2 linked regions of the Mus musculus genome follow. The protein of the gene in region 2 interacts with the protein of the main gene of each other region in a pairwise test. Links are inferred from orthologs where the notes say so. Each region holds a gene or a part of one and is shown on either strand. Other genes may lie near its edges.

Region 1 (3,908 bases), on a different chromosome or scaffold from region 2:
CTGTGACCTGCAGATGAACACGCCAAACAGGTTTAATTAGATCAGAGACACAAAGGGCTATTGCCTCCCCTGATAACAACACCATAGCTCTAAGAGTCCACAACAGCAGGCCAAAAACACAGGAGGCAGAATGGCACCTTAATTGAATCCTTTCCCTGGCTGGCCCTTGACAATGATTTACTTGTAACCGGGGGAAGGAATTGGAGTCTAAGCCAAAGACTCCGCTTAGAGCCAGCTTCCCAAGAGGAGGTACTTGGGGATAGGGAGGGGGAGGTAGTGAAATCCTTTTGTAGCCTGTAGCCTGAGTTTGCTAAAGTATTTGCTGCACTTAATACGGGGCTGTTTGGTTTTGGTCTGCTGATCCCAGATCTTGTAGTTTCAGCAGCCTTGTGCCCCGGGAATCCCATAAAAATAAATCACTCCAGCTTCTAGGATCCCAAGCACAGCTCAGCGGGGGAAGCAGATAAGCAGTTCTCCCAGCAGACCCGAAGCGGCTCCTCCCCAATCCTCTCCGGCCTTTGTACCCTGCATCCTCCAAGCTGAGTGTAGTGAGGGATCCAGAGAGACAGAATGCAGGGCAAATGTGCTCTGAGATTTCCCCCAAGCCTGCTTGTATACGAAGGGTTAAATTTGGTCCCAGATCTGATAGGGTTGAAGCCGCAAGCAAGTTCCCACTTTACCCCACCTGGGAAAGGAAGGTGGACTGAGAGGGCCTGAAGAAAAAGCATCCCATGGCCACCCACCAGCCAATCCTACCTGCTCCCTAAGTCCCCTTCCTCCTCCCCTGTCCAAAGCCTGCAGTACATTTCACCAACTCCGCTTTTTCCAAAAGGCCCAGGAATACTAAATGGGGCCCAAGTGTTGGGGGGGGGAGAAGAGCGGGAGGAAGAGGGCGTGGCTGCAGCAAACAGCTTCCTTTTGTAGCTCTGAGCCCAGTTCAAGTATCAGTGCACGACCGAGTCTCCGTTCTCCTCCTCGGAGCCCGATGCTGGGGGACGCAGGGGGGACGGTGTAGTCCGAGTCGCGTCGCTGTCGCCCTCATCCGGCTCAGCCGGGTGCAGGTGCGTGGCGAGCTCCTGTAGCACCGCCGCGCGTCCGATCTGGTCGTTGCGCCGCTTCTCCATGATCAAGTCCTCCAGGCTCTGGAACTCGAGAGTGTGGCTGCGCTGAGCCGAGAGCTGAATCTGCAAACGGTAGGGCTGCTTGCCGATGCGCAGCTCGCCACCGATCTTGAACTCGCGTTTGCCATAGCGGCACCAGGCCGCAAAGCTCTCGGAGTTGCGCCAGCTGAGCTCGCGCTCCTTGGCGCCCACGTGGGCCAGCGCGTTGCGCACTACAGCGCTAGGGCTCAGTGGCTTGTAGCGATACAGATCGTTGACCACGCGGCCGCGCCGGCCCTGGCTCGCATCGGTCAGGAAGCTGTTGCTCACCTCCAGCCGGTGCAAATGCACCACCTGGAAATTGCCCACGTAGACAGCCCAGTGCGGGTATTGAGCCTGCGATACAAACTCCACCAGGTCACCCGGACTGCACTTGTTGAGCAAGTTCTCCGGTGTGTAGGTGCTCAGAGCCGCCGATCCTGGCGCGAAGCTTTTCTGATAGATGCACTCATCACGATAAAACACCGAGCATTCCACCTCGTGCTGCCGCGGGTCGTAGGGCTGCGGCGGGGGCAGGGGAGGCCGATCCCCGGAGTCGGACAAAGCTCCGCCATCAAGCCCCTGGGGCGGTGGCTGAGGTTCCACATCCTCGTCGTCATTGGAGAAAATATAAGAGACTCCGATGCGGGGCCCATCGTCTCGATCCACGCCGGTCGGGTCGGCCGTGGGAACTTCCTTATAACTTAGGTGGGTCAGTTTTTCCACCTGGTTGCCCATTACGCTGTGGACTCTCGTTCACAAGACTTCAAGAGGAGAAAGCGAAACCACCGTCAGAGTCATTGGCACTGGTGCCCGGGCAGGGGCTAAAGCCACCTGTTGGAAGAGAAGACGAGGGAGATGTTTGTAGGTGCCACTCCAGAAAAAGACGTTTGTTTCTTGAAAAAGAACCGGTAGGGGCCCGAGCACCTGGAGCCATTTTAGGAGAAGTCTGGGGGACGTGCTTCCTCGCGTTTCTACACCACTAAGGTCACGATCACTGGAGACATGGCCACTCCAGCTTTCCCCTTCCTCCAGCTATCACCTGGACCCAGCCAAAGCCATTGCATCAGCAGCTCCGACAGCTTCCGCCCGCGCCCTACCTGCCAACCCTGGGCAGGAGTGGGGGAGGGAAGGAAATAGAAACTTTATTCCAATTTCCTTCTCTTTCCTAACTTCCCCTCCCACTCCGGATCCTAACTAGCCCTTTGACGTCCTTCAATGTCTGCACCCCCAAGAACCTGCTAGGCTACCTTGGCGTGGAGGTGGCAGGTGAGCCTCCGGACTAGACTCACCTGCCGCAAGTCACTGCGGCTCGTCGGCCCCTCCCCCGCGCGCCTGCCCTGGGGTTCAGATTACCTGCGCGGACTCTCTCCCCGAGAGGTAGAAGCCCTAGGGGACCGGGAGGGGCACCCTGCCGCACCCGAGACTTCTAGGGCGAGTTCGCAGGTGTGGGCTCCGCAGTGCCTCCTCTCCCAGCGCAGACCAAGGCGAAGCTGGGCTTCGGGGAAGGACGCATTTCTCCCTCGCCGCCCCCCGCGGTTGTGTAGAGCCCCAAGACTTGAAGATGGGGGGCAATGCCTGTTCACGATCGTTGCTGCACGACCCCTCACGCAGATTTCCAGGAAGGTGGGGCACGAGGAGGGAAGCCGAAGGAGCTAGCTGGGTTTCCCGGGGGCCGCAGCTCCCGCTCGGGCTAGGCGAGCAACAAGCGCCGGAGCGGGAGGGACGGGATTGTAGATCCGGCTCGGGGCTCCCGGGCGGGAGTGCAGCCCGTGGCATTTAAAGAGACAGACGTGGCTCTGAGAGCTCCGGTCTTTCCTGTACCCAGCTTAGTCCCTCGGAGCCCCGCCCCCGCCCCGCCCACTAGGGCTGCTCCGCCCTTCCAGGACCGTGCCCCCTCCGTAGCGGGTTTAAATCGGGCTGGTAAATAGTGTACCTCCCACGGGAGCAGGCTTCCTCTACCGCCCTGAGCCCCCTTGCCTTTCTGTTATGCTGAGTTGGGGTTCTGAGAAGTTGGAAGCAAGACGCCACCTGCCAGTATAGAAATGCAAGTGGTGAAATGTTGGTCTTTCTTCCTCTTCTCCTTCCATTTCTTCTTAGATGGAGTATCTAAAGAAAGAGAGACAGACTTTTCTTATCAGAACGTTTTTATAACCTAAAGTAGTCTGTGCTGCAACAGTTCAAGAAACACATCAGCTAAAACCTGTTTCCAGAGCAAGTAATAATTTTGGATAGTAAATAATAATAATAATAATAATTCAGAAAGAGGAAGCAGTATAATACAGGACTTAGTTGACTAGCTCCTCAAATCCCTAATGACTGTTAGGTGTCCCTCCAAGTAAACTCAACATTAACTTCACAGCCTTCTTTGTTTTAGATTTCTTTTCTAGTTGTGAGAGAAAGCATGCAGAAATGGGATGGGGGTGTAGAGTTGCTTAATTGTCCTTAAATTAAAAACAAATTAGCAGAGACTCCTGGTGAATATATTTCCTTCCTCCTGAGGGAAGTGACAGCCTTGTTGGTTATTAACCTCCTCAAGAGGACACTTTCTTCCCTGCTGGGGTCATTTCTCTACCCCAGACCTAAACTACTAAAGTGATTTTTGTTGCTGCTGCTACTACTGCTCCTCCTCCTCCTTCCCCTTCCCCTTCCTCTCCCCTCCTACCCCTCCTCTCCCCCTCCCCCTCCTCTTCCTTCTTCTTTCCTCCTCCTTCTCCTCTCCCCTCCTTCTTCTAAATAGTGGGTCAGAACAGAAATAGACAATCTTAG
Region 2 (3,908 bases):
GAAAAGAGAGAGAAAGAAAGAGAGAGGGGCAGGCAGTGGTGCACATGATTTTAACCCGAGCACTGGGGAGGCAGAAACAGGTGAATCAAAAATAATAATAACAATAAAGTTTTACCTTCTCCAGACCCTCAGACCTTAAAGCCCTGCTGACAGTCTCAGGAAGGGCTAAGAATCTACATGGTTCTCAACCTGTGGGTCACAACCCCTTCTGGGTGGAATGACCCTCTCTCAGGGGTCGCATATCAGATCTCCTGTATACCAGATATTTACATTACAATTTACAACAGTAGGAAAAGTACAGCTATGAATTAGCAACAAAATCATTTTATAGTTGGGGGTCACCACACCATGAGGAACTGTATTAAAGGGTCACAGTATTAGGAAGGTTGAAAACCACTTAGATACTCTAACCAGATCATTGGAGGAAAAGTAACATCCCTGCTTTCTCCAGTTTGGGAAACCATTTACCTATTTGTCCCTAAAGACTCACCTGAGCACCAGCAGCCACTTGTCCTATTAGGTATGGGACCAGAACATCAGTGAGTATGCCAAGCAGCTTGTGACTGGCCTGTGGCCTTTGGTAGAGCCATCGTTTGGCCTGAGCCATGGTGCTTGAACTGCCGCCTTCAACCATGTATGTCATTAGGGTCCACTACAAAAAGATGAGGACGGCAGACACAGGATCCCTTGTCTATTCCAGACCTAGGAGCCTGACCTCTCCATGCTCCCATCCACACCCCTGGCCGCATTACCGGAGCACCAGCAAAGCCAATTAGTGGCACACGTCCGGCCAGCCGTTGTCGAGTAAGGGTGATGGCTTGGAACACATAGCCTAACTCTGAAGCCGCTGCTGCTGGATCCCGTAGACGCTCTAAGTCCCGCTCTTCTCTTAATGGCTCTGGAAAGCTGGGTCCTTTGCCAGGTACCATGGTCACCTCCATGCCCAATGCCTTAAGGGGGATAAAATATATGGGTACACAGCCTGGAACTCAGAGGTTTCTGTTCAACGTATGCAACAAAGAAAAGACTAAAACCTCCTGCAAACTCCATCCCTAGCGTTTGCCGCTTCCCCGTTATGTATTTAAACCTGACAAGACAGAGGATTTCCAATGAGTGCCTTCCTCCCTCTCCCCTCTTTTTTTAAAGTCCACAATCCAGGATCAGGATTGAGTACCTGGGGTACAACAAGGATGTCAGAGAAAATTATGGCAGCATCCAGAGGAAACCTTCGTAGTGGCTGCAGGGAATAGCAAGTAGGTTAGTAAGGAGACACACTGGGGGCATGAACCCCACCCTGGTTCGTGGGGCCCTCACCTGTAGAGTCAGTTCACAGCAAGCCTCGGGAGATCGGCAGGTGCTGAAGAAGTCCTGGGCAGCCCTGGTTTCCCTAAACTCTACAAGGGGAGATGGAGGACAGGACTCAGCCACAAGGTCTTCCAAAGTTACTATCTTCTCCTATCTTCACCATCTAGAATTTCAGGTTTTATCTAGACCACAGCTTTGCCCCTGACCTGGTAAGTAGCGGCCTGCCTGTCTCATGCACCAAACGGGAGTATAGTCTGTTTCCTCTCCCCAGGCTGCTCTCAGGAACGTGTCATTCTTCAGCTCCGGGAAATTCTGGAGTCTGGAGATCAGGTGAAAGGTACAGGTAGGAGTAAATGTCATTATGCTAGACTGGGATTCGGGGAGGGCACCGGTCCAGTCAGGCCGTTATCTGCCTACTCCAGACCAGCTTGCAAACCATGGCTCCCCGCCCACCGCCTCCCCTCTATCAAGTGGCGCACAAGCTCCCAGGAGGAGGGCCCCACTAGGGCCTCTTTCCTACACATTTGTCCACTTTCCCAAACTCAAAGAAACTGGAGGGACTAGAGAAGTGGAATGAAGATCCAGTAAGGGGATTAGGGGAAAGGAGTTAATTTGGGGAACCGAGCGGCAAGCATGAGAAGCTGGGATCCCCAAAACGAGAAAGGATCAAAGCTGATGGTCCCAGGTGCTAGTTAGAAGTTCTGAGTCACCTCGAAAGAAAGTCTCGGGACGCAGTCCCGCACGGTAGTCCCTGGAATGGAGACTGCGGGAAGAGGGGGGGGCAGGGAGCGGGAAAGGTTCTGTTCCATGACTGCAAGATTTGGAATCTCAGCGACTTGGGTTCAGACTTGGAGAGCTCCAATAAAAATAAGAGTTTAAGGACATATCCCTGAATTGGAAGACTCGGATCAGAAAGTAACGTAGCCACAAGCGCGTGCAGCAGAAAACTCACCCGAACCCGTTCGCCTCCATGGTAAACAGTAACTGAGCGGTCTCCGCTTTAATCTGAGGCTCCGCCCCGACACCCCAGTCCCCGCCCCTTCCTGAAGAGAACCCTGGGCGGCGCCATATTGAGAACCACGTGACCGATCCAGTGACAGCTGTGGGGCTGCCCTCCCTGCTGCCCGTAGGACCCAAACAATTTTTTACCGTAAAGTCCACTGTTGCGACGCAGTAGCAAATGCCCCAAAGAAATGACTTCCCAATACATGTTAAAACTTTTCTCATCTGTGGTATAGAAGACTTAGTACAAGCCTCGCTCTCACTCCAGTCCATGAGTCTCACAATGTCGTCTAGCTGTATAGAAACCGAAGATTTTAGGCTCTACATTTACACTACTAACCAATTTGTAGAAGTGGTAAGAGTGCTGAGCAGGACAGGAACTGCTCTAGCAATCGTCTAGGAAGCCAAAATCGCATTTAAGTGGGCAACGATTATTAGTCTCCTGGAATTAGAAACAACAAATAGCATCTATCCAGAACGATTGTACATTCCTATCAGTGACTGGAAAAGGGGTCATTCTACCAAACATTTTAGTCACACGCCCCCTAGGATAGTTGAACAATTTTTATAAGATTTCTCAAGCCTGGTGTGGTGGCTCACGCTTTCAATCCCAGCAGTCGGATGGTAGAGGTGCGAGGATCTTTGAGTTTGAGGCTAACCTGATCTACAGACTGTAGTGAGTTCCAGGACAGCCAGGACTACACAGAGAAACAAAACAACACAATAACAACAAAAAGATTTCTTCAAATGTAATATTCGTTGGGGACGGGGAGACAAAGACAGGACTCCAAATCATCAGAGTGGGTCGAATAAAGACTGAACAAGGATAGTAGCACTCGGTGGCGGGTTACAAAATAGGAACACCTGACACTATGGTGGTAATAGGTTGTGCATTTAATCTAAAACATACGGTAAGGTAGGGTGGGAGGTGGGGCCGGGTGTGGTGGGAAGCTCTGCTTGCTGTCCCCTGGCTGCGGCCGGCCAGGGTTTCCCTGGACGAGTCTCACTTCAGCGGCTTCGCTATGGCCGGCCCTGGCCCCGGCGCGGCGCTTGAGTCCCCGCGGCAGCTCCTGGGTCGCGTGCGCTTCCTGGCGGAGGCGGCGCGGAGCCTCCGGGCCGGGCTGCCACTGCCTGCGGCGCTAGCTTTCGTGCCGCGGGAAGTGCTCTACAAGCTGTACAAGGACCCGGCGGGACCCTCGCGCGTGCTGCTGCCCGTGTGGGAAGCAGAGGGCCTGGGGCTGCGTGTGGGAGCCGTGGGCGCTGCCCCGGGCACAGGCTCTGGACCCCTGCGCGCCGCCCGTGACAGTATCGAGCTCCGGCGCGGCGCCTGTGTGCGCACCACTGGCGAGGAGCTGTGCAACGGCCACGGGCTCTGGGTGAAGTTGACCAAGGTGCGCCCCGGATGGCAGGGACCCCACAAAAGACCCCCTGGATCTAGCCAGAGCCCTGGTTGTTCCGCCCCCTTATCCCATAATGAGCTGGCATTGCTTTCCGTGCTCTTTGCCCCGGGCTGGGCTGGGCGAGCAATTGAGTTGATTTCTGTCCCCATCTGACTCGTCCCTGCAGGAGCAGCTGGCCGAACACCTGAGTGACTGTAGTCT

Evidence for each region.
Region 1: the proteins of Urod (region 2) and Lratd2 interact in binary tests that used the Homo sapiens proteins (3 or more experiments, as listed by UniProt). The two-hybrid records come from large-scale screens. The link is inferred for Mus musculus from reciprocal best matches to the Homo sapiens genes UROD and LRATD2.

The regions. Positions count from the first base shown.
Region 1 is NC_000081.6:60,822,019-60,825,926, forward strand, and holds the start of Lratd2 (protein LRATD2), read right to left. Parts: upstream 3,063-3,908; 5' UTR 2,496-3,062; exon of another isoform or gene 1,974-2,495; 5' UTR 1,878-1,973; coding exon 945-1,877; 3' UTR 1-944.
Region 2 is NC_000070.6:116,992,074-116,995,981, forward strand, and holds the start of Urod (uroporphyrinogen decarboxylase), read right to left. Parts: upstream 2,341-3,908; 5' UTR 2,278-2,340; coding exon 2,258-2,277; intron 1,625-2,257; coding exon 1,512-1,624; intron 1,395-1,511; coding exon 1,315-1,394; intron 1,238-1,314; coding exon 1,175-1,237; intron 951-1,174; coding exon 753-950; intron 653-752; coding exon 491-652; intron 1-490. Other genes in the region: E3 ubiquitin-protein ligase HECTD3, read left to right, coding at 3,330-3,698, 3,874-3,908. UniProt on the Homo sapiens protein: Catalyzes the sequential decarboxylation of the four acetate side chains of uroporphyrinogen to form coproporphyrinogen and participates in the fifth step in the heme biosynthetic pathway.